4 linked regions of the Pelodiscus sinensis genome follow. The protein of the gene in region 2 interacts with the protein of the main gene of each other region in a pairwise test. Links are inferred from orthologs where the notes say so. Each region holds a gene or a part of one and is shown on either strand. Other genes may lie near its edges.

Region 1 (6,824 bases), on a different chromosome or scaffold from region 2:
CAGCCAGAGTGAGGAATGCAGCAAACTGTGCACTTTCTTTTCACTTCCTGACAAGGGGAACAGCCACCAATGACTCCATATGAATCTGAGAAAGGGGAGCTTCAGCCCCAATCACCCTCCGTAAAGTGTACCTGGGGATGGAAGGCTCGGGGTTGGTGCAGTTCCGGATAGGTGGAGGGTGTGCCATGAGCCAGCCCCTTTCACCTCTCTGGTGATTCTGTCTCTTTTCTGTATGGTTTTATAAGTAACAATCCCATTCCAGCCACATCCCATTTTCCTGGCACAACCAAACTCTTACATTGCTTTAAGTTATAAGAGAAAGCTGTATTCTAGAAAGCTGGTCCTAGCTCTTACCTTTTGGAGGAGTTTTCATCTGTTATAGACAGACAGACAGACAAACTCTCTCAAATGTATAGCAGATAAGATTGAGAATTTCAAATGTTAGGGGGCATTTAGGCACACAACACCCATATAAATGAACAGGACTTGAGTGACTAAATCCCCCTACTGGACTTGAAAACCTGTAATTTAATCTGCTACCATTATAAACAGTATTTTCAATGCACCTTCCTGGTCTAGATCAAATTACTCAACAGAAATTACACATTTTAACTGGCTCATTTAGTTCAAATCTCAAACAACAGAGTTCAAACTTGATTCTAGAACCAACTTAAGATTCTAAGGGAAGGGCATTTCAGGGGTTATATGCCATCAAGGCAAAAATACGGCATGGGCAAAAATACTGGCAAAACTTCTATACAACGACACACCTATAGAACCAAAAGTCTATCCCTTTCAAAATGATGGCATGTTAGAAATTCAGTTAAATATAGTGTATGGGAACCAGTCTCTCTTTAGAGCTATAAATATTTCATCCAAAACCTTAAGTTGTACATTCATTATAGAAGGCAGTTCAAAAATTATGCAATACCTAAATCCCTTTGTAGATCTGAGCCAAAAAGTCACTACAGTTTGCATTACAACTGCTAAGACAGAAAGGAAAAGGACAGAGGAAGGAGGGGTGACTGCATTCTGGGTCAATTCAGACTGTAGTGTTGTTGCTGTCTTGAAGAAAAGCAACAAGTCCATAAATTATAGATTTCCTTGAATAAAACAACAACAATGAAGAAAACAAATACTAAGACTTTGCAGTTGAATTTCATGGCAACCAGGCAAACAATATTTTTGGCATTGTAAGTCAATGATTAAATCAGACACTAAAAGAGACCAGAGGAAGAGTTCCTGTGTGACAGCAAAGTAGGCCAGAATGAGATGATAGTTATACTGGTAGTCACAGTACCATATAAATAATCATAGTTAACCAAAAAAGACTTTCTGTGAACTCACATTTCAGAATATAAATATGCCACTATAACATTTAAATCTGTATAACTTCTATCCCTACTTGACATAAGAACTTTCACACCATCTCTCTAACAAATCTCCTTAATCCAAACCCTCCATCCTTTTGACTGTTTGGTGGTTTCATCTCCCATCTCCAATTCTGAGGTGTCCCTCATATGCTCATTTTCTAAGCTGTTGTCCCATCCTCTAGATGCCATCATTTCCTGATTCTTAGCTCATCCTTCCCTCAGCATTAATTATTTTGTATTTGCTCATTCACTGCAGTTTTCTAGTATGATCAGGTTACCTCTCCTTAAAAATGCTATATAATCCCATTACCCTAATTTTCTCTTGTATTCTTCCCCAACCTTCTTTCTAATTTCTCCACTCTACTGAAACTGCTCTTATTAAAGATTCCCAAGACCAAGTTTAAAAGACTTCTCTGTTCTCAAATGGCAAAATATAAGGTCAAAGCATGTTCCTCAGGTCTAATTTTTGACCAATGTTCTGTGATGTGATTATTAATTTGATCATATAAGAACACTTAATTATACGCTGGCACAATGTTTCACACTGCCTTTTTGCTCTTTAAGCAGAAATTGACTATTGACTCTTCAATTTACTTACATGATGATGCTCTGTTTTTTATGGAAACCAGGAATGAGAAGAGGAAAGCCTACCTGAGGCAGCTGTCCCAAATAGTGGAGGGTGAGTTTCTTTGGCTCTAGGTAGAGAATCTCTCCAAGCTCCTGGTATGGTTTCCAGCTGGGTGTCCAATACCCATGCTGAGTGAGTTGCTTGTGCCTCCGATGGTAGCTCTCCCAAAATATTTGTTCTCTTGTGGCTTCCCAGCAATTATAAACTGTGCTACTTCTAGCTTGGACTTTTGCACCTTTCTGTGTGGGGATGGGCAAGGGTCTTATTAGTACAAAGTAACGAGGATCCAAAGTCCTAGTGTTCCCAGGCATCCTGGTCTTGCTGATTATACCGGTCCTTGTCTGAGACCCTAGTGCTTCTGCTGATGCTACTGATGATCTTGATCCTCTTCCTTTCACCTCCAAGCAACCCCCCCGCTGCAGAACACAGCCCTGCAAACCAACAGTCACCTGCTGCATGGACCCTCCTTTTAATTTACAAGGTAGAATAACTAAAGTATCTGCCACAAAATAACTTGAGAGAAAACCAATCCACTGTGCAGTACCCTCAGTCAAGGGAACTAAGTAATTAATGACCAAACCCACAACTTGGCTGCCCCACCAAACAAACTGACAGGCCAGCAAACCTGCAACACACAAAGTTACATGGAGTGCTCTCTGGTATCCCAATGAACAACTTTATGGAATCATTTCAAAAGACACAATAAAAACCGTCTCCTTGTGACTTGTATTCTGAACAACAAGACAACAGGTGGGCCCCCTAGCTCTGCCCTCATAGCACAGAGACCCCTGTCCAGAGCTCAGGAGCAGGAGCCACACAGCTCAGAGACACACCCTCTCGAGTTAGGGTAGCTGATGCCCCCTTTCAACTGAATCCCCTCAACCCTCTCTTTGAGCACGTCTCGCGTCCCCCCTGCCCCTCCCACCGCTGTGTCTCCCTTGGGGTCCAGGTGCTGAGACACCCCCCAACTGTATCCCCCGAGTCCAGGTGCTGATCCTCACCCTCACTGAGTCCCCCCCCCCCAGTGCAGGTGCTGAACCCCTCCCCCACTGATCCCCCCTCCGGGAGTGCAGGTGCCGAGCCCCTCCCCCACTGATACCCCCTCCCCCCGGGAGTGCAGGTGCCGAGCCCCTCCCCCACTGATACCCCCTCCCCCCTAGGAGTGCAGGTGCTGAGCCCCTCCCCCACTGATACCCCCTCCCCCCGGGAGTGCAGGTGCCGAGCCCCTCCCCCACTGATACCCCCTCCCCCCTAGGAGTGCAGGTGCTGAGCCCCTCCCCCACTGATACCCCCTCCCCCGGGAGTGCAGGTGCCGAGCAGCGCGTGTCCCGGAAGCGGCGCGTCTTGCCCAGGCCGGCCGCCTGAGACCGCGTCCCCGTTGCCCTGACAACGCGACCCGGGCCTCGGCCGCCTTGCCCGCGTTGGCGGTGCCGAGGTGGGGCGGCGGGGGGCGGGGCTCGGCTGCTGACGTCACGCTCCTAGCGACCAGGCGGTGCAGCCGGAGGTCCTGCCGCGGAGGGAATCGCTTGGGGCCCATCCCGAGCCCCCTCTGCTCTGATAACCGGGACACCCCCCTCACCGCCACACTCCGCACCCGCAGCCTGCCGCGGGGGAGAGCCCCTCCCCCCGTCGGGACAGCGGGGAGCGGTGCCAACCGGGAGGGGCGAGAACTGAGCGTGCTGCTGCAACGCCCAGCTTCCCGTGTGTGCAGCCTGTGCAAGGCAGGGTGCACAGCTCAGTGGCTCTCGGCACCCCCACTGTACACACTGTTCCAGCACCCCGATTGCAACCCACCCCAGTTCCCTGCACTGCATTACCCATGCTAGAAGAGGCGGGCAAGGTCTGCAAGCCCGGCAGACTGAAGCTGGAACAGAAACAGATTCAGAAATGGGGGGAGAGGGGAACCAACAAACGTCCTAACAATTGCATGTCATTATGTGTTATATGGGATATAGGTTGAACCTCTCTAGTCCAGCATCCCTGGAACCTGAGAATTTGCCAAACCACAGGCATTCAGTATTGTCTAGCAGTATTACCATCACATCCACAGCTTACTGGGCTCTTAGAAAACAAAGGGTAGTCCTGTGGCACTTTTAGGCTACAGGCTTTTTTCAGAAGAAGCTTTTTTCGGAAGAGAGTCCAGACGCATGTAAGCTGTGATTGCTATGGACGCAATGACCACCAGGGTACCTATGCTTTTTCCTCTTTCCTCTTCTTCCGAAAGAACTCCCTCTTCCCTGTCCACACACGCCTTTTTGCGAAAGAGCTCTTTTGGGAAAAGGCTTCTTCCTCGTAGATTGAGGATTACCAATGCCAGAAAAACCCCTCTGTTCTTTTGATTTTCTTGCGGAAGAACGCAATTGCAGTGTGGACATTCCTTAAGTTTTGTCGGGAAAACAGCTGCTTTTCTGACAAAACTCTGGGCTGTGTCTACACTGGCACGTTCTTACGTGAAAACAGCCGCTCTTGCGCAAAAACATGGCTCCTGTCTACACTGGCCGCGCGTTCTTGCGCAAGTAAGCTGATGTTGTTCTGTAGAAAATCAGGACTTCTTGTGCGAGAACTCTGACACTCCCTCACGGGAATAAGCCCTCTTGTGCAAGAGCTCTTCTAGAAGAGGCCAGTGTAGACAGGCAACATGAATTTCTTGTGCAAGAAGCCACTATGGTTAAAATGGCCATCAGAGCTTTCTTGCGGAAGAGAGCATCTACACTGCCATGGATGCTCTTGTGCAAAAGCACATGCCAGTGTAGACACTCTCTTGTGGAAGAGTTTTTGCACAAGAACTCTTCCACAAAAGAGTTCTTGCACAAGAAGCTGCCAGTGTACACGTAGCCCTGGGGTAGACATACCCTTAGGCTACGTCTACATTGCGCTTTCTTGTGCAAGAAGATCTGAAAATGAGTGTAGACTGCTCCTTCTTGCGCAAAAGCCTCTTGTGTAAAATGGTGGCTCATTAAGTATGCAAAGGAGGTGCAGTGATATTCATCACCGTGCCTCATTTGCATATGTTCTTGTGCAAGAAAGTGCAATGTAGATGTAGCTTTAGAGACTAACAAATATATATATATATATATATATATATATATATATATATATATATACTATCAAGAGCTTTCATGGACAAAACCCACTTCCTCAGATGAGTTTGAGGTGTCATGTCTCGAGATCATCTGATGAAGTGTGTTCTGCCCACAAATGCTCAGGATACTATATATATATTTATTCGTTAGTCTTTAAGATGCCATAGGACTACTCATTGCTTTTAAAGTTACAGACTAACACAGCTACTCCCTCTAGACTTTTAGGCTCTTAGATGACACTTAGGAGTAAATTACAGCTAAATAATAGCACAGAACACTGTGAAGCATTTTATTCCCATTCATTAGACTGGAACAATGAAGTAGAGATCTGAAGTTCCTTGAGTCAAGGAAACACTGAACCTGCTTCTGCTTCATTGGAAATAGCGATAAAACGAGTGAAGGGGGAGTTCCTCCTCCCCTAGCGCATGAGCTGTGTAAAATTAGAAATCAGGTCTCCTAACTCCAACATCCACATTCTACAAAAACAACCGTTCCGTAATTTCGCTTTGTCAGAGAGCTTTTTCAGTAAAACTTTTCAAACTTCACACAAATCCTGTCAAAGGAGCCCTAACTGGTGGAAAATGAGAATTCAAGATGAGTTTAATACTATATCTTTACTGGCTGACAATACATGCAATAGCTGCAGAAATAGCGTATTATGTGTAATACACAGTTTCCAGTGAAGGAATGGTTTAAAACGTTGAGGGCAGTACTTACAAATACATGTTCTGTTTCTCAAAAGGGAGACTTAAGTGTGTGTGAAGGGGGAAGGGGAAGCCCACAGTACTCCCCTTCCATTTTATTTTATTTTTCTTTAAATACTCTGCTAGAAATAAGATGAGATTTTAAAAAATAGTTATGTATCGTAGCTGCCCTCAAGATGTCATCTTCTGCAGCAATGCTTTACAATAATTTATCAAACCCTCCTAGCTGTGGTTCACAGTGGTCTACCAAAGGATATATCCACTCACCTAGATATTTGCCTACTTTTACAAAAGGCTACATTAAAAACACTAGTGAAGTTGGTACAAAAGTAAAATTTCAGACAGGCAGTGACTAGTTTATATTGCTATATATCAGTGGTCACCAACCAGTCGATCGTGATCAACTGGTCGATTGTGGAGGCACTGCCAGTCAATCTCAATGCAGTGTTCCCAGCCCTTCTTTGCATCTTCCCTTCCCCCCAATGAGGAGTCCATGCTGGCATTACAGTCTCCTGACCCTCGCAAAATTGGAACCACCGCTGGCTTCCTATGGCAGGAGGATGGGGGCAGAAGTTCTGAACCTCTGAGACAGTTTCTCAGGAAGCATGTGCTGCTTGTCCCTGCCCCACAGCAGTGTGCAAGCTTTCTTCTCTTCTCTTCCCTTCCTTCCCCTGTGCTCCAGAGAGGAAGAGTGTGGGGGGATTAAGACTGCGGTGGAGCATTTGGAGTGACTAGATTTCTTAAAGGAGCTGCACATGTGCTTCTTCCAGAACTGCCTGCAGATCCTGCCCCAGAGATCCTTGTCCCTGGAAGCCCTCCAGGTACCGGTCGAGCTGCCCTTGCCCCCTGTCCCCTGCCCAGACACCCACCAGCACCCAGCTCCTGCCTCCTCTTCCCTGGCCAGACACCCACCAGTACCCTGCTCCTGCCCTGTGCCCAGACCTCCTCCAGTACCCTACTCCTGCCCCTATCCTCTGGTCATACACCCACAAGCACCTTGCCCTGCTCCCTTTCCTCTGGCCAGACACCCACCAGC
Region 2 (7,810 bases):
TCCACCTTTAATAAGTTATATCTGAGCTCTTTGGCAGTATTGTATTATTCTTCCTTAAGAGTTCTGGTGTCCTGGGCTTTGCTTTTGCAAAAATAAACACAAAGTAACTTATTATAGAATTCTGCACAACCCATCATTAATAAAACAATGGATACAAGACATTTAGGAAACTTCACCATAGGAGAACACTTGCTATAAAGGAGAATGACAAACTGTGTTTGTTTATATCCAGACACCAATTAATCAGATTCATATGCACAGAACGTTACTTCTTGTTACATGAATAATAGCTAAAGTGATCCTTTATCACATTATTTAAAACAAAGCCTACCCCTTCACACCAGATAGAGCCAGGATCCACCTTTCTACCAAGTGTTGTATTGATAAGGAATGGTTCTTTAGAGACACTGCTCAACAGTGAAAAAGATGGCCTATCAAGGACAGTTTTCTGATAGCCCAAATCCAAGGCAAAAATATAGAAGTTAATGTAGAGAAGGCAGCTAGAATCTACCTGAAAATACAAAGGATATAAAAGCTAATCCTGCATGAAGCCACATCCCAAATGGCAACCCCAGGAATTTAGATCCTATTTCAAAATGCAATTTTAATTAGGGAGTTTTTACCAAGTGCTTTTGTAACAATCTTATACCCATCCTTTGCAAAGTATAAGCTATTGTGTGTGAAGAAATACATTGCACTAGTAGTAGGAAATGTTTCTATCAGTAACAAAAACAATAACAATGTTCAAAGTAAGTTGTTTACATATATTTAAATAACTTAAAGGCATCAGACAATAATAAGAGCCACAGTGGTTTGCCCCCAGTAAATTACTATAACATGGTAGGGACCAGTGTAATCTAAAGGGTAGACTAACTATTGATCTTATTCTGCAGTCATGGGGCTTTTGTCTGAGTAAGGACTCCAGAGTCAAGTCCTATTTAGCCCTGTGACTGAAGATATATGCTAGTCCAGTGATCCGCAACGCGGTGCCCGCTGGGGCATTTATGTGCACCTGCCGAGTGACCAGGGCCGGCCCAAGCCATTCTTGCGATGTGCAGCTTCTGCCCTGGGTGCGCGGCACATGTGCAGTCCCATCCCCGGGCACGTGGCGCATGCGTGGCCCCGCCCCCGGGTGCCCGGCAGCCCCAAAAGGTTGGGGACCACTGTGCTAGTCTATAACCTATAGTATCTACTATTGTTTATAGTAATTAGGTGCTGCAGAGGGCTGCTAAAGTAAGACTGGCCACATTGGGTCAGAGCATCACCTTAAGTAAATTAGCTAAGCTCCTCTGAATCTAGGCGCTGCGGATGCTTGCACTTGTCAGAAGGTATCCAACACTCTGCAAGATTGAGCTCAAAAACTGTGTTGCTGTTGTTAAAAGTGAGCACCTAACCAGACCTTTGGTCCTTCATTGAGATGCTGTACTGGGCTAAATGGCACCTTAACTATTTCACTCATTAGGTTCCTTAGAACTTTTCAGGGGACACATGATCAAAGCCTGGGGATGTTACTTTCTCCCTCTTATGCATTTTAGAAGCAGTATCAAAAAGTGTTTCACCTATACAGGCACATATAGGCAGTAATAGCTCTATCAATATATGGATAGTCTATGGATTTTTTGATTCAGTATGTTTCAAAGAAAATCACATTGTTATTTAAAATATAGTGGCACCACTTGTCTTATTTAAAGTTTTTTCAATTTATTTTTTCTGTATTAACTCTTTTACTAGACAAACACCTAAGGATTAATAAACAAACAAGATAACCTCCTTCCAGGGAAGGATAAAATACATCTCACTCTCCCTAGAACAATTCTATGCAAAATTAAAAGTAAGCTCAGTGGACCCAATGAACAGACCACAAAACAAACCAAAAACAAAAATCAAGCCCCTTAAGAGCAATGCTGGTCAGTGATCCTACAGGGAAATGCCATCTTGAAAAAAAAGATATTTTTAAATGTGCTTACATGTATGGTAACAAGGAGGAAGAGAACATTCAAAGTTTAGAATGACAGACACTTAAGCCTTCGGGTCACCCACTGAGGTCTCAGTGCGCATTCCCACACCAGATGTGCTTGTTACCCCTAAGATGGGAGGAGGCGGCAGTGAACGGGCATTTCTTCCCGGGCATTAATCGGACACCAGCACAGATGCAGCCTTCACCTTTCCCCGAACCTCTAGAACACTGAACAGTTGACTGGTCTCAGCTGACCCCCACGATGCAGCCCAGCTTCCCCCATCATCCCTGCTAAGTGACACGAGCAGCCCGCCGAGGACGAGGTGGCTCCCTCAGACGCTGCAGTACCTGTCCCAGCCCCAGAGGGCTAGAAATGCCGGCGGAGCTCTCCCTAGACGTGAATAGCAACGCGCATCCCGCTCTGGGTGGGGAGCTGGCGCTCTGCGTGCGGCTGGAGCGAAGGTGCCTCGTGCTACTGGGGTGGGGGCGCGCGGCTGTGGCTCAGGGCTGGAGAGGGGGCTACCTGCGCAGCTGGCCGGGGGCGGGTCGCGCGCGCCCCCACAGCACGCAATGGCCGGGCTGGTTTTGTTTGGGGCTCTGCTCAGTGAGGCTGGGATGGGGGAGGCCGGTCCTGTGCTGCCATGGGGGGAGCGGGCATTAGTCCCCGAGGGGGGTAAAAACTTGCGCAGGCAGAGCCGCGGCTGGGAGGATGCAGGGCACCCGCAGAAACCCTCCGTCGCCGCGTGGCCGGGTCCGAGAAGTCCCCGCCCGCGCCTGCCCACGCGGGGAGCAGCTGCCGGGGGCAGGACGCAGAGTCCGTACCTGGGGCCGCGGCGCACCCGTCTCCTCCTCCAGGACAAAGGGAAGCCGGAGCCGCGCGCCAGCTCCCAGCCGATGGCTCCCGCTACAGCCTCACATCGCACCCAGGCAGTGCGAAGGGGAGCTGCTGGCACCGGCAGGCGGCTATATATACACCCAGCGCGCAGCCTCCGCCAGCGGCGCCCGCTGCCTCCCAGCTCCCCAGCCTCCCGCTGCCGGCCACGGCAGGAGCCACAGCGCCCTCTGCAGGCACATCGGCAGCGCTGCCCCTTGGAGGCTGATTTTCCAACTGAGTCCAGTCTCCCTAACATCGTACCGCTGCAGCAAAGAAAGCTCCTAGGATTGTGGGCTGCATCTTTTTTTTTAAGTAGCAACTATTTCTAAGGCTGTTCCACTTTAAATAGAGCTATTTCCCGGCTCTGTGGGCATTTATTACGGCCATTCACAGGTCCCCAAACCCTAGGCAGCTAAAGGCTGCGACTCAGCTCCCCCCCAAAGTCAGAAAGTTGACTTAAATGTCGTGAGATTTCGAAAATTTTCTTTTGCCCTGTTTTTTGAGCCTTTGAGGTTCACATTTTCAAGCTTTCCTGTGCAACCCCGAAAACTAACAACTTTTTTAAAATAAAGGCTGGGATTCTCCTGACACAACAACAGGGTTCCAGATGCTGGGGTTTTAAAGAAAGAAAAATACCAATATTGTGAGATACAGTTGCAGTAGTTGGCAACACTGGGGGATCACTAAAAGCTAGATCTCTGCTAAATCCTAGGTGAAATCCTAGGATAGTGCTAAATCCTGATATCTGAAATTTGGATGTCTGAAGTAGCCTGAGGTTGCTAACCTTAGGGGCACTCTGTTTACTGAGGACAGAATGTATGCTTAAGCCCTTCCATTTCTGAGCTCCCATTCTAAATGTCAAGCTTCTAATTTCATATATGCTTTCACTTAAACCTAATTTATAAAGAAGGCCTAAGATGTGACCCCTAACACTCCCCCTAAACAAATTAAAACATTTTTTCAGATTTTTTTAAATTAGACATTCAGGTCTTGTCTAATCTGAAAAATTATAACTGGAGAACAAATGAAGTGGCAATGTATCAAAAATGCAGACTGAACAACTGACTAGGAAAGGGATTTTTAGTCCAACAATAATGTATGCAAATGAGCTGTTGGTACATACAAACAGGAAAAAACAGCCTAAGCATATATACATGACTGAATTCCATATGCAGTTGTGGCAATTTGCAAGCTTTTGGGAGTGGCTCAGACACATGAGTGCCAACCGCAGGGAAGATTGTGAAGAAGCAGAGCACAAACCTCAAACTGGTTGTGAGTTTAATATAGGCAGTCCCCAGGTTACGTACAAGATAGGGACTGTAGGTTTGTTCTTAAGTTGAATTTGTATGTAAGTCGGAACTGGTACATATTGTAGGGGAAACTCTAGCCAAACATTTCTCCAGAGCTCAGTTTTATTCTCCCACACCTCACTTCCCTCAGTCCTTTATTCTCAAGCTGAGGTGTCTGCTGAGAAAAGCCGCTCCGCGTCTCCTTGGTCTGCTGGGGGGGGGGGGGTGCTAGCTTCGCGTCTCCCTGGTCTGCTGGGGGGGGGAGGGCGCTAGCTTCGCGTCTCTCTGGTCTGCTGGAGGGAAGCAGCTGGTGCGGGGTTGCCTCACCCCATTTGTAAGTAGGGATCCGATGTAAGTCGGATCCATGTAACCCGGGGACTGCCTGTACTTATATTTACCAGACAAATATCATGTGTGAATTCCTCAGGCACTATATCATGAAAAGTTACAACCAGTCCTCTTGGGTACTGAAGTCTATCTTGCCACCCAGACAAGCCTGCCTTAGTGATAGACGGTCCCTCACATAAAAAAGCACAGCAATATTCATGTTACTCCCAGCCCCAAAGGACAAGTCACTTACCATAGGTCACTGGCACCTGGATCTTACAAAGACAATGCTGGTGGTCAATCCTATAATAAACTAAAAAATAAATGAGATTATGATATTAATGAGGCAAACACACATAAATGAATTAGTCTTAGATTTCAAAAAGGCAGTAGAACATCCTATAATAAGCAAGTTCCTTATGGGTTAGCACAGACCAAGTGCTGGGGATCTTTTACTTATGCTTAGTAATTCTTGCCCCTCAGAGTTCAAACAACATATAGTTTTTCCTTGATAAGAATTTTTATTCCTTTCTGGCAGATTTCAAGCTGATGGGAAGAGACTCAGTGCAGATCTCTTCTTGAGTGGTGGGGAGCAATCAAAGTCTTTGTCCTCTGGCATTCCACAATAGTTTGTCAATGGGTTTTTTGCTGGGCAAACTAGTTTGCTATGGTAAACTAATATTTCACACTCATTAATACTTCTCTCCTGACTGATGGACTTACAGTTTCAGTGCAAACACATAAATCTTATCTTATGACATGGGGTACAAATATTATAAGAGTTTCGGAGGGGTCGCCATGTTAATCTGTAACTGAAAAAACTTAAAAAATAATGAATAGTCCTGCAGCACCTTAGAGAGTAACAAAAATGTAGATAGTATCATGAGCTTTCGTAGGCACAACCCACTTCTTCTTGAAGAAGTCTAAAGAAGAAGTGGGTTGTGCCTACGAAGGTTATGATACCATCTACATTTTTTGGTAGTCTCTAAAATGCTGCAGGACTATTTGTTGTTTTTTAAATATTTTAAGAGAGATTAATGCATGCAGCAATTTAGAAGCATATCATAAAGTCTCAACACATTTTCATAATGCAAATACCTATTTTAACAATACTAGCACATGTGAGCCTGATGGGTTTCCATCTGTATAGTTGTCACTGTTCAGTTAAGACCTAGGGCTCTTGGCAACTGGTCTGCTAGGGTCACAGCTATGTCACACAAAAAGTAGGAAGTTAAAGTCATGATAATGTACAACCTGCTGTACAAAACTCAAGTGATCCCTGGACACATGAGCTTAACAGACAGGTCCTGGCATATCCAGAAGATGAAGTTAATTTAGAAAACAAAAATAATTACATTATTATAAAATACATATATTCAGTGGTAAGTTTTCAGAATGGAGAGAGGTAACTAGTGATGTCCTGCAGGGGTCTGTACTGAGACCAATCCTATTCAACATATTCATAAATGATCAGGAGAATGGGATAAACAGTGAGGTGACAACATTTGCAGATGATACTAAACTGCTCAAGACAGTTAAGTCCAAAGCAGACTGAGATAAGCTTCAAAAAGATCTCACAAAACAAGGTCACTGGACAACAAAATAGCAGATGAATTTTAATGTTGATAAATGCAAAGCATAATCCTAACTAATATGTATAAAATGATGGGAGCTAAATTAGCTGTTACCACTCAAGAGAGATCTTGGAGTGATTGTGGATAGTTCTCTGAAAACATCCACTCAATGTGCAGCAGCAGTCAAAAAAGCAAACAGAATGTTAGGAATCATTGTAAAAGGATAGAGAATAAGACAGAGAACATCTTATTGCCTCTATATAAATCCATGGTATGCCCACATCTTGAATACTGCATGCAGATGTGTTCACCTTATCTCAAAAAATGATATTGTCAGAAAAGGGAAACAAAAATGATTAGGGGTTTAGAATAGCTGCCATACGAGGAGAGATTTCAGCTTAGAAAAGAGAAGACTGAGGAGGGATATGATAGAGGTCTATAAAATTATGACTGGTATTGAGAAAGTAAATATGGAAAAGCTACTTACTTGTTCTCATACCACAAGAACTAGGTGTCACTCAAATTAATGCGTAGAAGTTTTAAAACCAACAAAGGGAAGCATTCTTCACACAATGCACAGTCAACCTGTGGAACTCCTTGCTAGAGGATGTTGTGAAGACCAGGACTTTAACAAGGTTAAAAAAAGGACAAGATAAATACATGGAGGATAGGCCCATCAATGGCTATTAGCCAGGGTGTGTGGGAATGGTGTCCCTAGCCTTTGTTTGTCAGAAGCTGGGAATGAGTGGCAGGTGATGGATCAGTTGATGATTACCTTTTCATTCCCTCTGGGGAACTTGACCACTGTCATAAGACAGGATACTGGGCTAGATGGACCTTTGGTCTGAGCCAATATGGCCATTCTTATGTTCTTAATAAATAGTTGTATGTTGATTCTATTTATTTTCCTGAAGTTACCAGTTACATGTGCTATTGGCTTTTTGAGAACAAATAACCAGCTTGCATGTGTGCTAATTTTTGTTGGCCTTGATTTTTTCCTTGACTGGCTACTCTCCAATACTCTTCTCTCTCAAGTTCCATTTCTCTTTACCTTCAAAATATGCAAAGAGAACCTTGCATCTCTAAATCCCTCTTTAAAAATTGATTCTTCAAGTAATAATCCTTACACTTTTATTTTTGAGCTATTGCCCGGTGTCTTGTTTAGTTTTCCATGAACAACAAGGTCTGTATGGCAGTTGGTCTTGGCTATATTTTTCAAGCTCTGTGCAAGTTTATACCATGATACTAAATATGCTAAAGATACACTCCTGAGAAAGCCAGCATGCATTGTTTTTCAGCTCCTAAGGCCTGCTATGTAAAATAAACAAAGTTACAGATTATGATACACCCATAATGTAATTTATTTGTAATATATTTGGTACTATTTACCATAGAGTTCCTGACTCAATATCCATTAACTCAAGAGTTGGCTTCAATGGGCACTGAATAAAGCTCATTATGAATTTTCTCTGTTCTTGTACTGTAGAGTAGTTCATCTTATCTTTTGCCCACATATGCACTAAGTATTAGTATTCTAGCATTTCTTCTGACAGACTAGTACTACCCATGTATCAGTAATAGTACAGAGGGCTGTAAGTACAGTAGTTGTAGCATGACAAGCTAACAACATACTGTAGCAAGTCCCTTATTAAGAAGTGTGCATGTGTTCATTAGTGCACATGAAATTCATCTGGGCTGGCTTGGGTGTTTTGAGAGCATTCAAGAACATAACCCTGTCAGCAAAGCTAGTTTTCATCTCAGAAAAGGACTCTAAGAATCCCTCATAAGG
Region 3 (7,071 bases), on a different chromosome or scaffold from region 2:
GGAGGGCAGTGTGTGCTGAAACCCAGGCCTGGGATAGCAGGGGCCTCTAGCTTGGCATGTCAGTTATCTGCTTTTAGCCAGACTATCCTGCCTTTCTATCCAGTACTGAGAAAAACAATGTGGCTTTGTCCAGTATCAGATGAGAGATGCCATAATGAAGAGTGCCTCTCTGCCCCCTCTGGTGTGACCTGGCATGCACGCCACATGTGTCAGATGATGCTGGCAGAGGTGGGCTGTGTGCTCTTCAAAATAGCGCCCCTTGTGCGGCACTGGCAGATGTGGGCTCCTGCCATTCCCAGTAGCACTGGAATGTTTGGTATTTCTGGAATGCATGAGTAGCCACCCTAGCTGTAGGTCAGGATTATGGGGGACCAGCAGCGCTGGGGAGGGGATGGCAGAGGGGCCGCAGCAGAGCTGAGGGAAGCCAGGGCTGGAACAACTGGGGTGTGAATGAACTGAAGGTCATTGTCCATACCTGGTGGCCTCCTGCCGTTTGTCAGAGGCTCTGGTGGGTGGCACTGAGAGGAAGGGGTCGAACTCTGAGCAGGACTGGGACCTGCAGTGGAAGCTCCAGAGCTGGTGCTGCTCCCAGTCTCTGAGCTGGTCCCCAGGTTGGTGCTGAGAGCTGCTGGCCATGTGGAGATGGAAGGGTTTGTAGATGGTCATCTTGGCTGGTGGAGGAAAACACAGAAAGTATTAATGGAGGGTTCCTGAACCTTCCCATCAGCTGCACTTCCCACGCCAGAAACAGTTGCATCTTAATTGCCAGGGGAAGAGTCTCTGAATAATCAGCCCTTGTGCCTCCTACTCCAGGGATTTTTGTATAAGCAGTCCCACATCAGAGGCAGCTCCATCTCAGTGCCGGGCATGAGGTTCCGTTTAAACAGCCCCCAAAAGCAACTGCATCCATCTCCTTGGCTCACCTCTCACTTTCCTCTTCTCCAGCTGCTCCTGGAACCTCTTGTGGAGTGTCTCAAAGTCAGGGATGGTCCGGTTAATGATGGGTTGGTACCGGATCTTGTCTTTGGGGGCCAGCCCTTTGCCCTTCCTTCTGTGCCCCCTGGGGCTTGGGTCCTGTGGCTCTGTGGCCAGGCACAGAGCCTCAGCTCTTAGCCTGGCCCGGAGCTGCTGGGCAGAGGTGGACGTCTCCCAGGCCGGGGAAGACACAGCCTCCTCCAGACTCAGCAACTGCTGAGCCAGCTGGAGCCAGTGCCTCCTCTCCTCCCGGAGCTGGCGTTTGCGGGCCTCACTCCGGGCCTCCATCTTCCAATACAGTGGGGAGAGGCTGCTGGAGGTGGGGTGGGGTACTCGCTTAACCCTGCCCCCCTCAGTGCTGCTGTGCCCCTGTGAGCTGCCAGCCCATTGGTCTGCACGTCTATGCAAACCCATCTTCTTGGGGTGGACACTTTCACGGGGAGAGTTGTTGGGAGCTCTGCGGGGCTCCCCCTTCTTCATCTGGTCCAGGGAAGGGGCTGGGAGCAGGGCACGGCCGTTGAGTGAGAATTCCTCCCACATCCACTGGAAGGGGAAGGAGGGGCGGGAGCAATGGGGTGGGCGATCAAGGGTGCAGGCAGGAGCTGACTTGGAGGGAAATGGGTCCTTAGGAATGTCTCTCTGCCTGGTGGTAGGGAGAAAAGGAGATGATGAGTTTCAGATCAGAGCAATGGAGCCACCTAGCCTGGTATCCCCCAGCTAATGAGCCCAGCATCGCTACTCCTATCCAGCTACCCTAGACTAAGCCAATGGGTTCATCTACAGGGCATACCATAGACATGACCACATCTCACATTGAGCCAGCAACAGACTCCTAGCTGCCCCCCTCCTCATGGCTCTAGCCCAGTAGAACCCACTCTTCTCCCTTTGTCTCTTTACAAGGCAAGCCCTTTGGGGTAGAGACTGTCTCTCACTGCGTGTCGGTCCAGTGCCCAGTACAGTGGAGTCCCAATCTTGGTCTGGATCTGTGCACCATCTGGGACAATGAGGACCCCTGATCTGGGTTGACGAGCCTGGGCAGCACCCAGCAGAATGGGGGCCCCAATCTTGGTCAGGGTCTATGTAGTGCACAGCACAATTGTGGCCCTGGTCTTGGGATCTGTGCAGCACATGCCGTAAAGGGGTGCTGATCTCAGTCGGCACATGTGGACACTACTAATAAAATCTCTATGCAGCAGCAGCAAGCATAAGTTTGGCCCAATGGCCATAAGGATCCCATCCATCCTACTTACCTTCCTGCAGATTGGGCCGAGTCCTGGTCCCCATCACAGGTGTCACTCACACAGGACTCCTGCATCTTGCAGCATGGGACCCGGCTGCCTCTTCTCCCTGAGGGGGGACCTCTGGGTGACCCCTTTCTCCTCCCTTTCCTCATCAAGACCACGATTCCATCACCATTATTGAAAACCTCCTCCTGAAACCGCAGAGCAGAGGCAAGAAGGACCTGGCTTTTCTTCTAGGGGACTGGCTGGCTCAGGCAACAGAGACTGGGACAGGAAGCCTTTCCCTCAGTAGGTCCTGGCTCAAAACTACCTAGTCCACTAGTCACCACACTCCCTCCTAAAGCTGGAAGTAGTGCATCCTAACTCCACTCCCTTGCTCTCTCTACTTAGCCAGCAGTGTCACTCTACAAACATCCACACAGGACAGTGAGAAAGAAAGACACGTGCCAGGTAAGGAGACCCTACAAAAACAAACTGCAGCCCCAAATTTTTCCCTGGGTGTTTGCCCGTTGTGGGAGTCCTTCACAGCAGGGAGAGGAAGGTAGAGTTTGGGTGGTCGAAAACAGATGTTGGGCCCCCAAGGACTGTGGGATGCCAGTACACAAAGGGGGCAGGGAGTACCAGGAGTTACCTCTTGGGGAAGGGAGCCTGAAAGCAGTCCTAACAGGTGCACCCTGCCCTTCTTTTGGTAGAGGGTGCCAGGCGCCCGGGCTTTGGGATCCAGGGAGGGGCTGATGCAAGCATTGGTGAACATAGAGTGGCGGTGGGCCCCCAACATGGTGCCTACCTGAATTCCCCCCCCCCAGCTGTTACTGTGGTGATTGGCCATGTTCCAGAACATGGCCATGGTTGGGAGGGTTCCAGAGCCTGGCCTCACCCCCACTATATGGTCACCATAGTAACTGTGGATGAAGGACAGACCATGGCTCTGATCCTGGCCAGCAGCCCATGAGGGGAGAGACTGTGCTGTTAGATCCCCAAGAAGGGGAAAGCTTGGGAGGGGCAACATTAGTCTCAGGGACATTGTGCAGCTCATAAAAGGCATGAGGAACACACAATCATTCAGAACAATGCCATGGCCCATCCAACATATTGGCGCGTATCTGCCATGGGGAAGGGATGAAGGAGAAGGGAGAAGGCAATCTCTAGGGTCACATGTGGTCCAGAAGGTGGGGTACTGTACTGTACTGAGACTCAGGACATCTAGGTTCTATTCCTGACTCTGCAACTGAAAATCTCTTCTGCCTCCCCCCATCCCATTTTGTGCCTTAGTTTCCCTCATTTTTTTCTATAGTTTTACTGTGACCTCTTCAGTGCAAGGACTGTCACTGTGCAACTCCCAGAGTGATGGGATCCCAATCTTGTTTGGGATCCATGCAGCACCTGGCACAATGAGGCACCAAATTTGGTGCTATTATAATGCAAATAAATAATAACATTAGAGACAAACCCCTGGATTTTACTGCAGAACTTAAAGATGGTGCCTGCCAGGAGCACAATGCCCTTAGTCCACTCTGGGGCACTGGGAGCCTGCAGTGAAGGAGAATTCCCCCTTCTGATCTTCCCATACTGCTTTCTGCAGCACTTTACCCTTTGATCACCTGAGGTACTAGGGACAGCACTGAGTCACTAATCCCCTGTAGGAACAGCCAGAGTCCTGGATAGCTCATTCTCAGCCATGATCCCTATAATTATAGTCTTGTTTACATCTCTGCCTGGGAGCCCAGCCAGGCAGAGGGGGAGCAAGAATTCCTTTTTGCTTCACACTGTTTCCTCTGATTCCCAGAATTTCCTGTCTCTTCCCAGGACAGGAGGTTCCTGTAAGGTCCCATCTCTCGGTGTCCAGCTGCAGACTTTGAAGGGGAGAGATGGTGGGGATCAGGGTATGGCCTCCTTTAAATTCACTCCTCTTTCCTGCACTTTATGGATCATGTAAACCTGAGTGTGGGGCTCCTGATTGGGGATGCAAACTCTGTGTGGAGCGTGAATCGACATAGGCCAGAGGAAGGGGACATTGCTTAAGGCTGGTGGAGGGAACTAGGGCTGGAGAGGGAGCTGGAGATCTCAGGCTCAGTTATTGTAGCTCTAAGTGGGGTTCTGACTTGGCTGAGGCTTAGGTTGGACAAGTGGAAATTGGTGGGGATAGGTTAGGTTGGATTGGGGGTGGGGGTGAGGTGGAGGAATCTTTGGGAGAAAAAGTCTGAGCAGATTGAGTCTAGGGAATTCTGTCTGTGTTTCTCCAGCAGGGCACAGAAAGGACACTGTTAACTGCAAAACATGCTACAACAACAAGCGGCTGAGTCCCTCCCCTCCCCTTGAACTGGCTTGGCAGGGGCTCTGGGCTGGGACTGGCCTTATTAATAACCCCTGACAGCTCCTGTTGCAATAACAACAACTGCAGGGGGGAGGGGTTCTGCCAGGAGCAAATGTGTCTGTGGGATAAACAGGATTGGAGGAGGGGCAATAGATCTTAGGTGGAGAGAGAATCAGTGGAGGACACTGTAGGCTGGTGAAGGGAAGGCTGGGGATTGATGGGGCACCACAAGGGAGAGATGGGGGCACTAAGGAGTAATAAGGGCCCTGGGGACTGGAGTAGTAGTAATGGGGGCCAAACACTAGAGGCTGGGGGGACTGATGGGGTGCTATCAGCAAGAGCTGGAACAGCAGAGGCTGGGTGATGTGAGGATACTGGGAATGGAATAGGGAAGGTCACTGGCAGCTGGGATGGGCAATAGGGGTTACTGGGAATGGATGTACAGGGGCACTGGAAATCAATGGACACTGGGGTATTCTAGATTAGGCAGCGGAAGCTGAAGTGCTGGGAATAAAGGGTATGTCTACACTACCCCCCTAGTTCGAACTAGGGGGGGGTAATGCAGTCATACGGAGTTGCAAATGAAGCCCGGGATTTGAATTTCCCGGTCTTCATTTGCATAAAGCCGGCCGGCGCCATTTTTAAATGCCGGCTAGGTCGGACCCCGTGCCGCGCGGTTACACGCGGCACGGACTAGCTAGTTCGGATTAGGCTTCCTAATCCGAACTAGCTGTATACCTCGTTCCACGAGCCTAATCCAAACTAGCTAGTCCGTGCCACGGGGTCCGACCTAGCCAGCATTTAAAAATGGCACCGGCCGGCTTTATGCAAATGAAGCCCGGGAAATTCAAATCCCGGGCTTCATTTGCAACTCCGTATGACTGCATTATCCCCCCTAGTTCAAACTAGGGGGGTAGTGTAGACATACCCAAAGGGAGTGTGAGGTATTCTGCAGCCCTGGCTCACTGGCCCAGACTCCCTGAGGAATAGGGTTGCCTGGTGTCCAGTGTTGAACAGAACAGTCCAGTATTTGAGCTTTCTGTTTGGGAAATAAATTGAGAAAATATAAATGAGAAAATATCAATGTCCAGTATCTTCTAAATAAGATGTAATGTAGATTGTGATGTAATGTCAAGTGTGTCCGGTATTTTTGTTGAAACCATCTGGCAACCCTACTGAGGAAATGCAGTAGGGGGAGGTGAGGTGTATCCCCTTCACTTCCTCTAAGCAGGGCAGCTCCTTTAAGGGCTGAGGTCAGCAGAGCTGGGGCTTCCATGGAGCCTGCTTCTTCTGCCTCAACACAGACCCACAGGGAAGGGGCCCCCCAGCTCTGCCAGTGGTTCCCAGGCCTGGGCCCTTAGGAAATGATACCCAATCTTGATGCTGCCCTACAGTGCAACTGCTGGCATGGAAGTGGGGGTGCCCCTTTCCCAGTCGTCACAGGTCCATGGAGCTAGGGGGCAGTACTAAGTTCCAAAACAAAGATGACTGCCAGAGAAGGGGTGATGGTTGTCAGGGTAATAACACAGAGAGATGACTTCCAAGAAAGATTGGCACAATGATGGCTGCCAAGGAGGAGAATGGTCATGAATAGGGGAGGCACAAAGATGGCTGCATGACAAGATGCAATGGCTGTTGGCAGGTCAGTGGAAACACAAAGATGGCTGCTGGAAGCCATTTTGTGTAATTCTTCTCCCAAGATGGCTGAGCTGTGCTAGGGCCTAAACCTTCCCTGGGGTGGTGAATTCTTCTCCCATTCCTGGCGCCACCCTGACTGGCTGGCAACATTGGGCAAGAAGCATTCAGGATCCATTTGTGGCTCTGGAGCAGCATCTTGGCGCCTGCTATTTCCCTCCCTGTCTCTCCCACGCCCTTGGCTTCCTGAGGATTCAAGCCCCAACATGACAATGTGGGAGCATTCCCCAGGGTTTGTATATGTGTGTGTGTGCTGCTGTGGGAAAAGAGAACTGGAGTGACATGCACATGTCAGAGTCAGGGCAGGGGCATATGTGATGGTGAGGGTTGCACAGTGGGCAGGGAGAAAGGGGCAAGGGATATGTGTGTATACAGGATAGAGAACGTCAGGGGTGCACAGAATGACAGGATCAAGAGGGTGTGCACATGGAGGAGAATATTTGGGTGTATATACAACATGGAGAGGCCAGGTAGCACATGGAGTGGGAGAAAAGGGGGGTACATAGAGTGGGATGAATAATGGGGTATATACATAGCACGAGGGTGCTGAGAGAGGTTAGAGGCTGGTCAGAGCAGGGAGGCTGCCCATTGAAGGGATGAGGGCACTAGTCTCTGATTACAGCTTGTGTGACTGGCACTTGTTTACAGCCCTTGCCTTTAGGCCACATTTGGTAGGGGGCGTGGCTCCTGGTTTTCTCTGCTGACTCAGGTGCTGCTGCTTATGGTGGCAGAGCTGGGGCACCTGTGCTGGGAGATCAGCACCTCAGCTGTGGCACTTGAACCCTCCCCCATTCCACTCCTTTTGGGTAAATTCAATGCCCAATTTGAATTGGGGCAGTTTGGTGG
Region 4 (7,086 bases), on a different chromosome or scaffold from region 2:
ATCACTCAAAAAACTGCTTCTGCCTGCTGGTCACTGACACTTGGAAGACAATTCAACATTCAAATCATTTTCTAAAGAACACCCCACCTCGTTGGAGCGGAGGACCTCTTTTTAACCATGTGATTTCAGGGGAAAGCAGATTAATTTTTTTTCAGGGTTACTGCACAGAAGGGAATTAGGGAGGATGAAGAGTTCTGGGGAGAGAAAGCATATTGGGGGGCAGTCTATGGATCAGCAGTGTCAGAGAAAAATTTGAGAAATATCTGTTGTATAAAGGGAAGGTTAAGAGGAGACACAGATCTGCACTTGGGGAAGGAAGCTGAGGATTGACAAGGGAAAACAAAGGCAATAACAGAAGTTGGGGAGAACTGGTGGGTGAAGAGGAAGGAAGAAAGGATCAGTCCCCAGGAGGGACATGCAGGAGGAACTGCAGGGGAGAAAGGAACTGAAGGAATTCCCTCACTATGGCTGTGAAAATTGACGAGGCGTTTTCCTATCAAAGCTTTCTAGGCTGGGAGACAAATGGTCGCCACATTTAGGTAGGAGAGAGCAGAACATGTCCCCTCTTCTCTGGCCTTTGGAGAGGAAAAGCCCCTCTTCCCTCCTCAGCATCCTACACCTGCTCTTCACACCTCTGGCTACTGCGAGGTGATGGGAGCTTCCCTTCTGAGGCACGGCAGTGATGACCAAGCGACAGGACACAGTGGAGACCTCAGAGGGCTGAGAAGGCTGCAGGGTGCGGAAAGGAAGTGATGGTGGTTGTGAGTATGCAGGTGGTAGTGGGGAAGTCGTAATGGGAAGACAGAAGGAAGCAGATGGGAGGATTATGGAACAGCAAGAGGGGTTCCCCCAGACTCATCGTGCTTTTCTGTGGAGGCCCAATGGTAAATTATAAGGCCACCAAAAGATGAAGGAGGGTTCCCTGTATGCATGTGCTTTTCAGCAGGGCACTGGTGAAGGGACTGTAAGGGCAGAAAAGCATTGATGAGGGCCCATCATTTCTACAAGGAAGCATCAAAGAGCGGGTACCAGGGCTAGAGCAGAGGGCAAGAGGGGACACACCCCACAATGGTGTAGAGTAGACTACAATCCCAGAATTTGGTTTGGCTGCAAGATGTTTGATAGAGGATAAGAGGGCACTGGAGGGAGATCTATTTGAAAACAGGTGAAAGGGTGCTATAGGCATACACAGGGTGGAGACATCAGAGGGGTTATATGGGGTAATGCACAGGAGGGGGGCATCAGCAGGCTTTAGCGGCTGTGTTGGCAAATATTGGGTATTCTGGCAGGGTGCTGGAAGGGGGCTAAATGGGCAGGTCAAAGTAAGGGGAAGCAAGAGAGTCTACAAGGGTGGCTTGGGGTGTGTGGTGATGGGGATATAACAGGGAACAGAGGAGGGGATGTGGGGAATGCTCCATGAAGGTGATAGGAAGAGGGGACCCAGGCTCAGAAGAGGACAGAGGGGAGCCCTGAGGGGCTGTGGGGAAAAGGGCATGGGGGGAAGAGGGTTGCACACACCCAGACAGAAGGGAGTGAGGCAAACCCAGGAGAGAAGGGGACAAGCAGAGACGCTGCGGGAGGAGGGTGAGAGGTGGGGACATCGTGCGGGGAGTCAGAGGGCGAAGAGCAGGCAGGATGCTGGGGGTTTCCGGATGGTTTCGACAGGAATACTGGACACACCTGACATCACGTCCCAATCTACAGCCCATGGGACTGAGAAAGGTCCGGTGTTATCGATCTTCTCAATCTGTGTCCCGAACAGAAAGCTCAAATCCTGGGCGGTGAACCGGGCCCCTGGCAGCCCCGGGCGTGGGGCGCTGGGAAAGAAGGGGGCGCTCTGGGGGCACCCCAAGGCAGAGCAGGAGGCGCTCTGGGGGCACCCCAAGGCAGAGCAGGGGGTGGGGCGCTGGGAAAGAAGGGGGCGCTCTGGGGGCACCCCAAGGCAGAGCAGGGGGCAGGGCGCTGGGAAAGAAGGGGGCGCTCTGGGGCACCCCAAGACAGAGCAGGGGGCGGGGCGCTGGGAAAGAAGGGGGCGCTCTGGGGCACCCCAAGGCAGAGCAGGGGGTGGGGCGCTGGGAAAGAAGGGGGTGCTCTGGGGGCACCCCAAGGCAGAGCAGGGGGCGGGGCGCTGGGAAAGAAGGGGGCGCTCTGGGGCACCCCAAGGCAGAGCAGGGGGCGGGGCGCTGGGAAAGAAGGGGGCGCTCTGGGGCACCCCAAGGCAGAGCAGGGGGCGGGGCGCTGGGAAAGAAGGGGGCGCTCTGGGGCACCCCAAGGCAGAGCAGGGGGCGGGGCGCTGGGAAAGAAGGGGGCGCTCTGGGGCACCCCAAGGCAGAGCAGGGGGCGGGGCGCTGGGAAAGAAGGGGGCGCTCTGGGGGCACCCCAAGGCAGAGCAGGGGGCGGGGCGCTGGGAAAGAAGGGGGCGCTCTGGGGCACCCCAAGGCAGAGCAGGGGGCGGGGCGCTGGGAAAGAAGGGGGCGCTCTGGGGCACCCAAGGCAGAGCAGGGGGCGGGGCGCTGGGAATGAAGGGGGCGCTCTGGGGGCACCCCAAGGCAGAGCAGGGGGCGGGGCGCTGGAAGGGGCGGGCGCCTCAGGGCACCCAGGATCCGGCGTGGGGCGCTGGGGGGCGGGTGAGCGGGGGGGGCGCTGTGGGGGGGCGCTGAGCGGGCCCCACAGAGGGACGAAGGGGCGGGGCGCCCCGGGAGCTGAGGGGACGCTGGGGGGGGACCCGGGGTCGAGCGCTGGGCGCTGGGGGGGGGCGATCGGGGGGGTCGGGGGGGCCGATGGGGGGGGGCTCCCCGCCCCCCGGACTCACCGCGCTTTTCTTGGACACCATCTTGTCCAGCCGCTTGGCGATGCGCACGATCTCGTCCTCCCCGCCCATGGCTCCGCGCCCCGCAGCAGGGGGAGGCGGCGGGGCCGAAGCGGGGGGGGGAGGGAGGGAGGGAGTTTCGAGGCTCTCAGTCACCCCGAGGTCCGCAGTCCGCCCGGCCCCCCCCTCCCCGATCACCAGCCCTGCGGCGCGCGGGGCACGATGGGACTCGTAGTCCTTCCGCACAGCCAGCTCGGCGGAGAGCCACTCGCTGGGACTACAGCCCCCATAGGGCAGTGCGACGGCCAGGGCCCACCGCCCCCCTCCGAGGGGCATTGTGGGAGTTGTAGTTCAAGCGGGGACTGTGACCCACGCTCTTGGGGCAGTTTAGGACTACAAGCCCCAGCAGCCATCGGAGAGGCGGGCTGAGTTCAGTGCTTGGCATGGGTGGCTGAGGCTACAGCTGTTTTTAGGGGGGACAGATTGGAGGTGGGTGGGGACGCGGGGCTAGGAGAGGAGAGGTGATGAATGATGGGGGAGGAGAGGAAAAGACGGGGAGAGAGAGGGATAATGCAGAGAGGGAGCCAACGAATGGGGGGAGAAAGAAGAAGGATCAGGAAAGAAAATCCAGTGGGAGTGAAAAATGAAGGACAAGAGAAGGGAAAATAAAGAGAAGGTGGCCAGTAGTGTTTCCTGTAAGCTGTGCACTTGGTGGTTGGCCACCCAGGAGCAATTCAAATGTATTAGCAGAGTGCCCACAATCAGCTTGTGTTTCTGTTGGGGGTGCACATCTGCACATGCCCTGGTGCACATCACAAAATTAATTCTGCACATGAATGGAAAAAAATTAGAGATAACATTAGCAGTAAACTGAGCCTCAGGCTGGCCGGTTCTACAGAGTTAGACCCCCATAAGCTGCTTTGCAGTGACTTGGCTATGGAAGTGTGCTTCACTTAATTTCAGCTCCTGCTGACCTGAGTGCCTCACCGAGTCGCCTCCCCGATTGGTGCCAAATCCCAGGTTGTGTAACAAGGTCTCCCTGGTGTTTGTATGTTACCATTCTTGATGTCAGATTTGTGTCCATTTGTTCTGTTGCAGAGATCGTTCAGTTTGTTCAATGTCCACAGCAGAGGGACATTGCTGGCACATACCACATTAGTAGATATGCAGGTGAATGAGTCTTTGATGACTGATATGGTTGGGTCATGTTTACTTTATGATTCACTGTAGCCTCCAGTGTAAACACGGGCACTTTTCAGGCCTTTCTTGTATTCAGAATTGCCCTGATTTAACTACAGGTCTTGTTTTAAATCACTTTAGTAAAACCACTGTGCAACTCATCAGTGTGGATGATCTAATTTACATTGATTTAGCTGAATTTGGACATTGGGGTTCTGTAGGCCTGCCTCCAGGCGTGTGACTGTAACAGAGTTATGAACCAGGGAGCCTAGAACTTTTGGGGAAAGGCCGCAAATGGTTTAATCAAAGCCATGTTAATAACCACGATTCACACTGAGACCTTGATGGGGCTTGTTTAAAAAACAGGCTTTGTGATTATATGCTTTGAGACGGCTCAAGGTTTCCTTGTTGTTGAGTGAAGAGTGTTTGGGTTAGAAAAACCACGAGAAGTGCTGGCAGGATGCCCGTGATCAGCCTTGCTTTGCATAGATTGAGAAGTAGGGCTATATCTTCACTGCAGCAGGTTATTTCAAAATTGAAATACGCTATTTTGAAATAAGATTGAAATAAGGTACACAATTTGCATCGCTCACATTGCGTATTTTATTTCGAGCTATGGTGCAGTATAGCTGCACCCTAGGAGACCCAGTGTCAGCCAAAAGGGGTTTCACTGGCTGGGCTTCGGCTTTGTTTGGTGTGCATTCTTTCCTCTTGGTGCTCCAAGTTAGGGGTGTTGAGCTTAGAGAATCTCATGTCATGGGGTTTCCTGAATTTCAACAACATGGTCCTAGATTTGATTGTATCTGTTCATCTGATGCTGCCTCCTGCCTCTGGGAGGCAGGAACATCATTCCAACAGTCTCCAATCCAGCCTGCCCTTCCTGAGCTGCCCTAGGAAAGAGTTGCAACCCCCTGCTGAAACTGACAACAATCAATACTCATCTTCCCTCAGAAAAGGACCATCTCTGACACCTCCTCTCTTCTCCTTGGCGATATCTATTTGTCTGTCTGTGCGTGTAGGTGGTTGGGGAAACTTACTTGAGAACACTTTCAGCTTTGCCAGGGAATGAAAGTGGCAAATGAAAGTGGTGTCACACAATGTTGCCAGCCTCCAGCAAGGGCTAAGAACAAAGCTGGTTTGGCATGATGTGGTTTTTCCCCACGCACAAAAGTAAATGATGTAGAAGGGTAAAATGCCTCGGGGGGTTGGTGAGAAGCCAAGCTTGAGATGCCTAGAAAGAACGGAGGAGACAGTACTAGGAATGGGATGCAAAAATAACAACCAAGCATCCGGTAACCACAACAAGGACACCTCACCAGCCTTGGTCCTGCAGAGATCTAGGGCTCTTCTAAAGAGGGGAGTCTTGGGAACCTGTACAGAAAGCAACAGCAGCTGCCTTCACTCCCCGCTGGCCCGAGTTACACTCCCTGCCACTTCTTGCAAATCAAATGACCATACACATGCCATGTATGCTATGATCTTTGGGACGGGCGGCATTTTTGTCACTACCAACAACTAGCCGAGACAAGGATGCCCTCCCACCTGTCCCCTAGTCATCACTTTGCTCTGTAGAAATCGGAATGGGACTGTCAGCTGATGGCGCTAGCGAGGCCACAGGAGCGGTTGAGGTTGGTTTTCTAGCTAGGGTGACCCTATGGCTGCTGCGTCACTCACCTCCTTGTATAGTGCAACCAGCCTCCAGCACAGTTCATTGATGGCAATGAAGCATTAAGAGCTATCTGCTGGGTGTGGCTGCGTGGGGGCAACATGGTTTCTAACCAGCATGCTCAGCAGCGTTCGAGTGGTTAACCCACATCCTTCCCAAACTTTGTCCTGCCATCCGGGTATCGACGGGGAAGAATGGCGGCTCATTGGTGGAGGATGCAGCCATGTTTCTGAGCAGCAGAAAATATTCCAGATCCCAGCATGCATGTAAGATTGCACAGTAACAAAGTGTTGCTGCAGCGTCTCATTGTTATTCCACACCGGGAGCGTGTCTAAAACCTCTCCTTTCTGCCGAGCAGGCTGGCAGTACCGGCGCTGCCTTCTAGGTAGATGGTGGTTTTACAAGGAAAACAAGATTGGGTGTCCCAGAACTGTTCCCATGGAGCCATGGAAGCTGGATTTATTGACGCCGTCAGTGACAGGAAGAATACTGCCTGCAGATGTGGTTGCCTCATCTCAACAAAGAGATCTTGGCATTGGAAAAGGTTCAGAAAAGGGCAACAAAAAGGATGAGGGGTTTGCAACAGGTCCCATGGGAAGAGAGATTAAAAAGACTTGGGACTTTTCAGCTTAGAAAAGAGGACAGTAAGGGGGGATAGGATAGAGGTCTATCAAATCATGACTGGTGTGGAAAAGGTGAATAAGGAAATGTTATTTATTTATTTAAAATATTTGTACCCCGCCTCTCTATTTAAAATATTTGAGGTGGCTTACAACATGTTTAAAACACAGGATAAATATATATAAAAAATGAAAATAGCAGATCCCAGGAGGACATAAAACCTGCTAAGACATCTCAAGAGAAGGAACATACGCTCTCTCTCTCTCTCTCTCTCTCTCTCTCTCTCTCTCTCAAACACCAATAAAAGCACGAATAAAAAGGGTGGCTTTAGCCTGGCGCTGAAACAATGCTAGCACTGGCGTCATGGGAATATCCCAGGGGAGAGAATTCCAAAGTCTGGGAGCAAAAGCTGAGAAGGCCCCTGCTCCGCGTAGATGTTAATCTTATCTCCATAAGTGAAAGAACATGGATCAGAGCCCCTCCCAGCTGACGTCAGTGCCCGGGCAGGTTCATATGGGAGAAGACGGTCCTTCAGACACCCTGGACCCAACCTGTTTCGGGCTTTATAAGTTATAACCAGGACCTTAAATTGTGCCCGGACGCCGGTGCAGCTGCTACAGCACTAGATAATGTGCTCCATATAACGAGTATTAGTTAAAACTCGAGCAGTTGCATTCTGGACCAGCTGAAGTTTCTGAAGGCTCTTCAGAGGCAGCCCCACGTAAAGTGTATTGCAGAAATCCAATCGGGATGTAACAAGAGCGTGGATCACTCTGGCCAAGTCATGCTTGTTCAGGAAGGGTCGGAGCTG

What was found.
Region 1: the proteins of MTUS2 (region 2) and CCDC60 interact in binary tests that used the Homo sapiens proteins (3 or more experiments, as listed by UniProt). The two-hybrid records come from large-scale screens. The link is inferred for Pelodiscus sinensis from reciprocal best matches to the Homo sapiens genes MTUS2 and CCDC60.
Region 3: the proteins of MTUS2 (region 2) and TSGA10IP interact in binary tests that used the Homo sapiens proteins (3 or more experiments, as listed by UniProt). The two-hybrid records come from large-scale screens. The link is inferred for Pelodiscus sinensis from reciprocal best matches to the Homo sapiens genes MTUS2 and TSGA10IP.
Region 4: the proteins of MTUS2 (region 2) and TCEA2 interact in binary tests that used the Homo sapiens proteins (3 or more experiments, as listed by UniProt). The link is inferred for Pelodiscus sinensis from reciprocal best matches to the Homo sapiens genes MTUS2 and TCEA2.

What each region holds. Positions count from the first base shown.
Region 1 is NC_134725.1:10,039,590-10,046,413, forward strand, and holds the start of CCDC60 (coiled-coil domain-containing protein 60), read right to left. Parts: upstream 3,011-6,824; 5' UTR 2,460-3,010; coding exon 2,025-2,459; intron 1-2,024.
Region 2 is NC_134711.1:299,547,265-299,555,074, forward strand, and holds the start of MTUS2 (microtubule-associated tumor suppressor candidate 2), read right to left. Parts: upstream 3,018-7,810; 5' UTR 2,780-3,017; intron 1-2,779. UniProt on the Homo sapiens protein: Binds microtubules. Together with MAPRE1 may target the microtubule depolymerase KIF2C to the plus-end of microtubules. May regulate the dynamics of microtubules at their growing distal tip.
Region 3 is NC_134721.1:33,087,842-33,094,912, forward strand, and holds the start of TSGA10IP (testis-specific protein 10-interacting protein), read right to left. Parts: upstream 3,010-7,071; 5' UTR 2,995-3,009; coding exon 2,848-2,994; intron 2,408-2,847; coding exon 2,226-2,407; intron 1,619-2,225; coding exon 924-1,618; intron 672-923; coding exon 476-671; intron 1-475.
Region 4 is NC_134728.1:4,614,991-4,622,076, reverse strand, and holds the start of TCEA2 (transcription elongation factor A protein 2), read right to left. Parts: upstream 3,022-7,086; 5' UTR 2,882-3,021; coding exon 2,813-2,881; intron 1-2,812. UniProt on the Homo sapiens protein: Necessary for efficient RNA polymerase II transcription elongation past template-encoded arresting sites.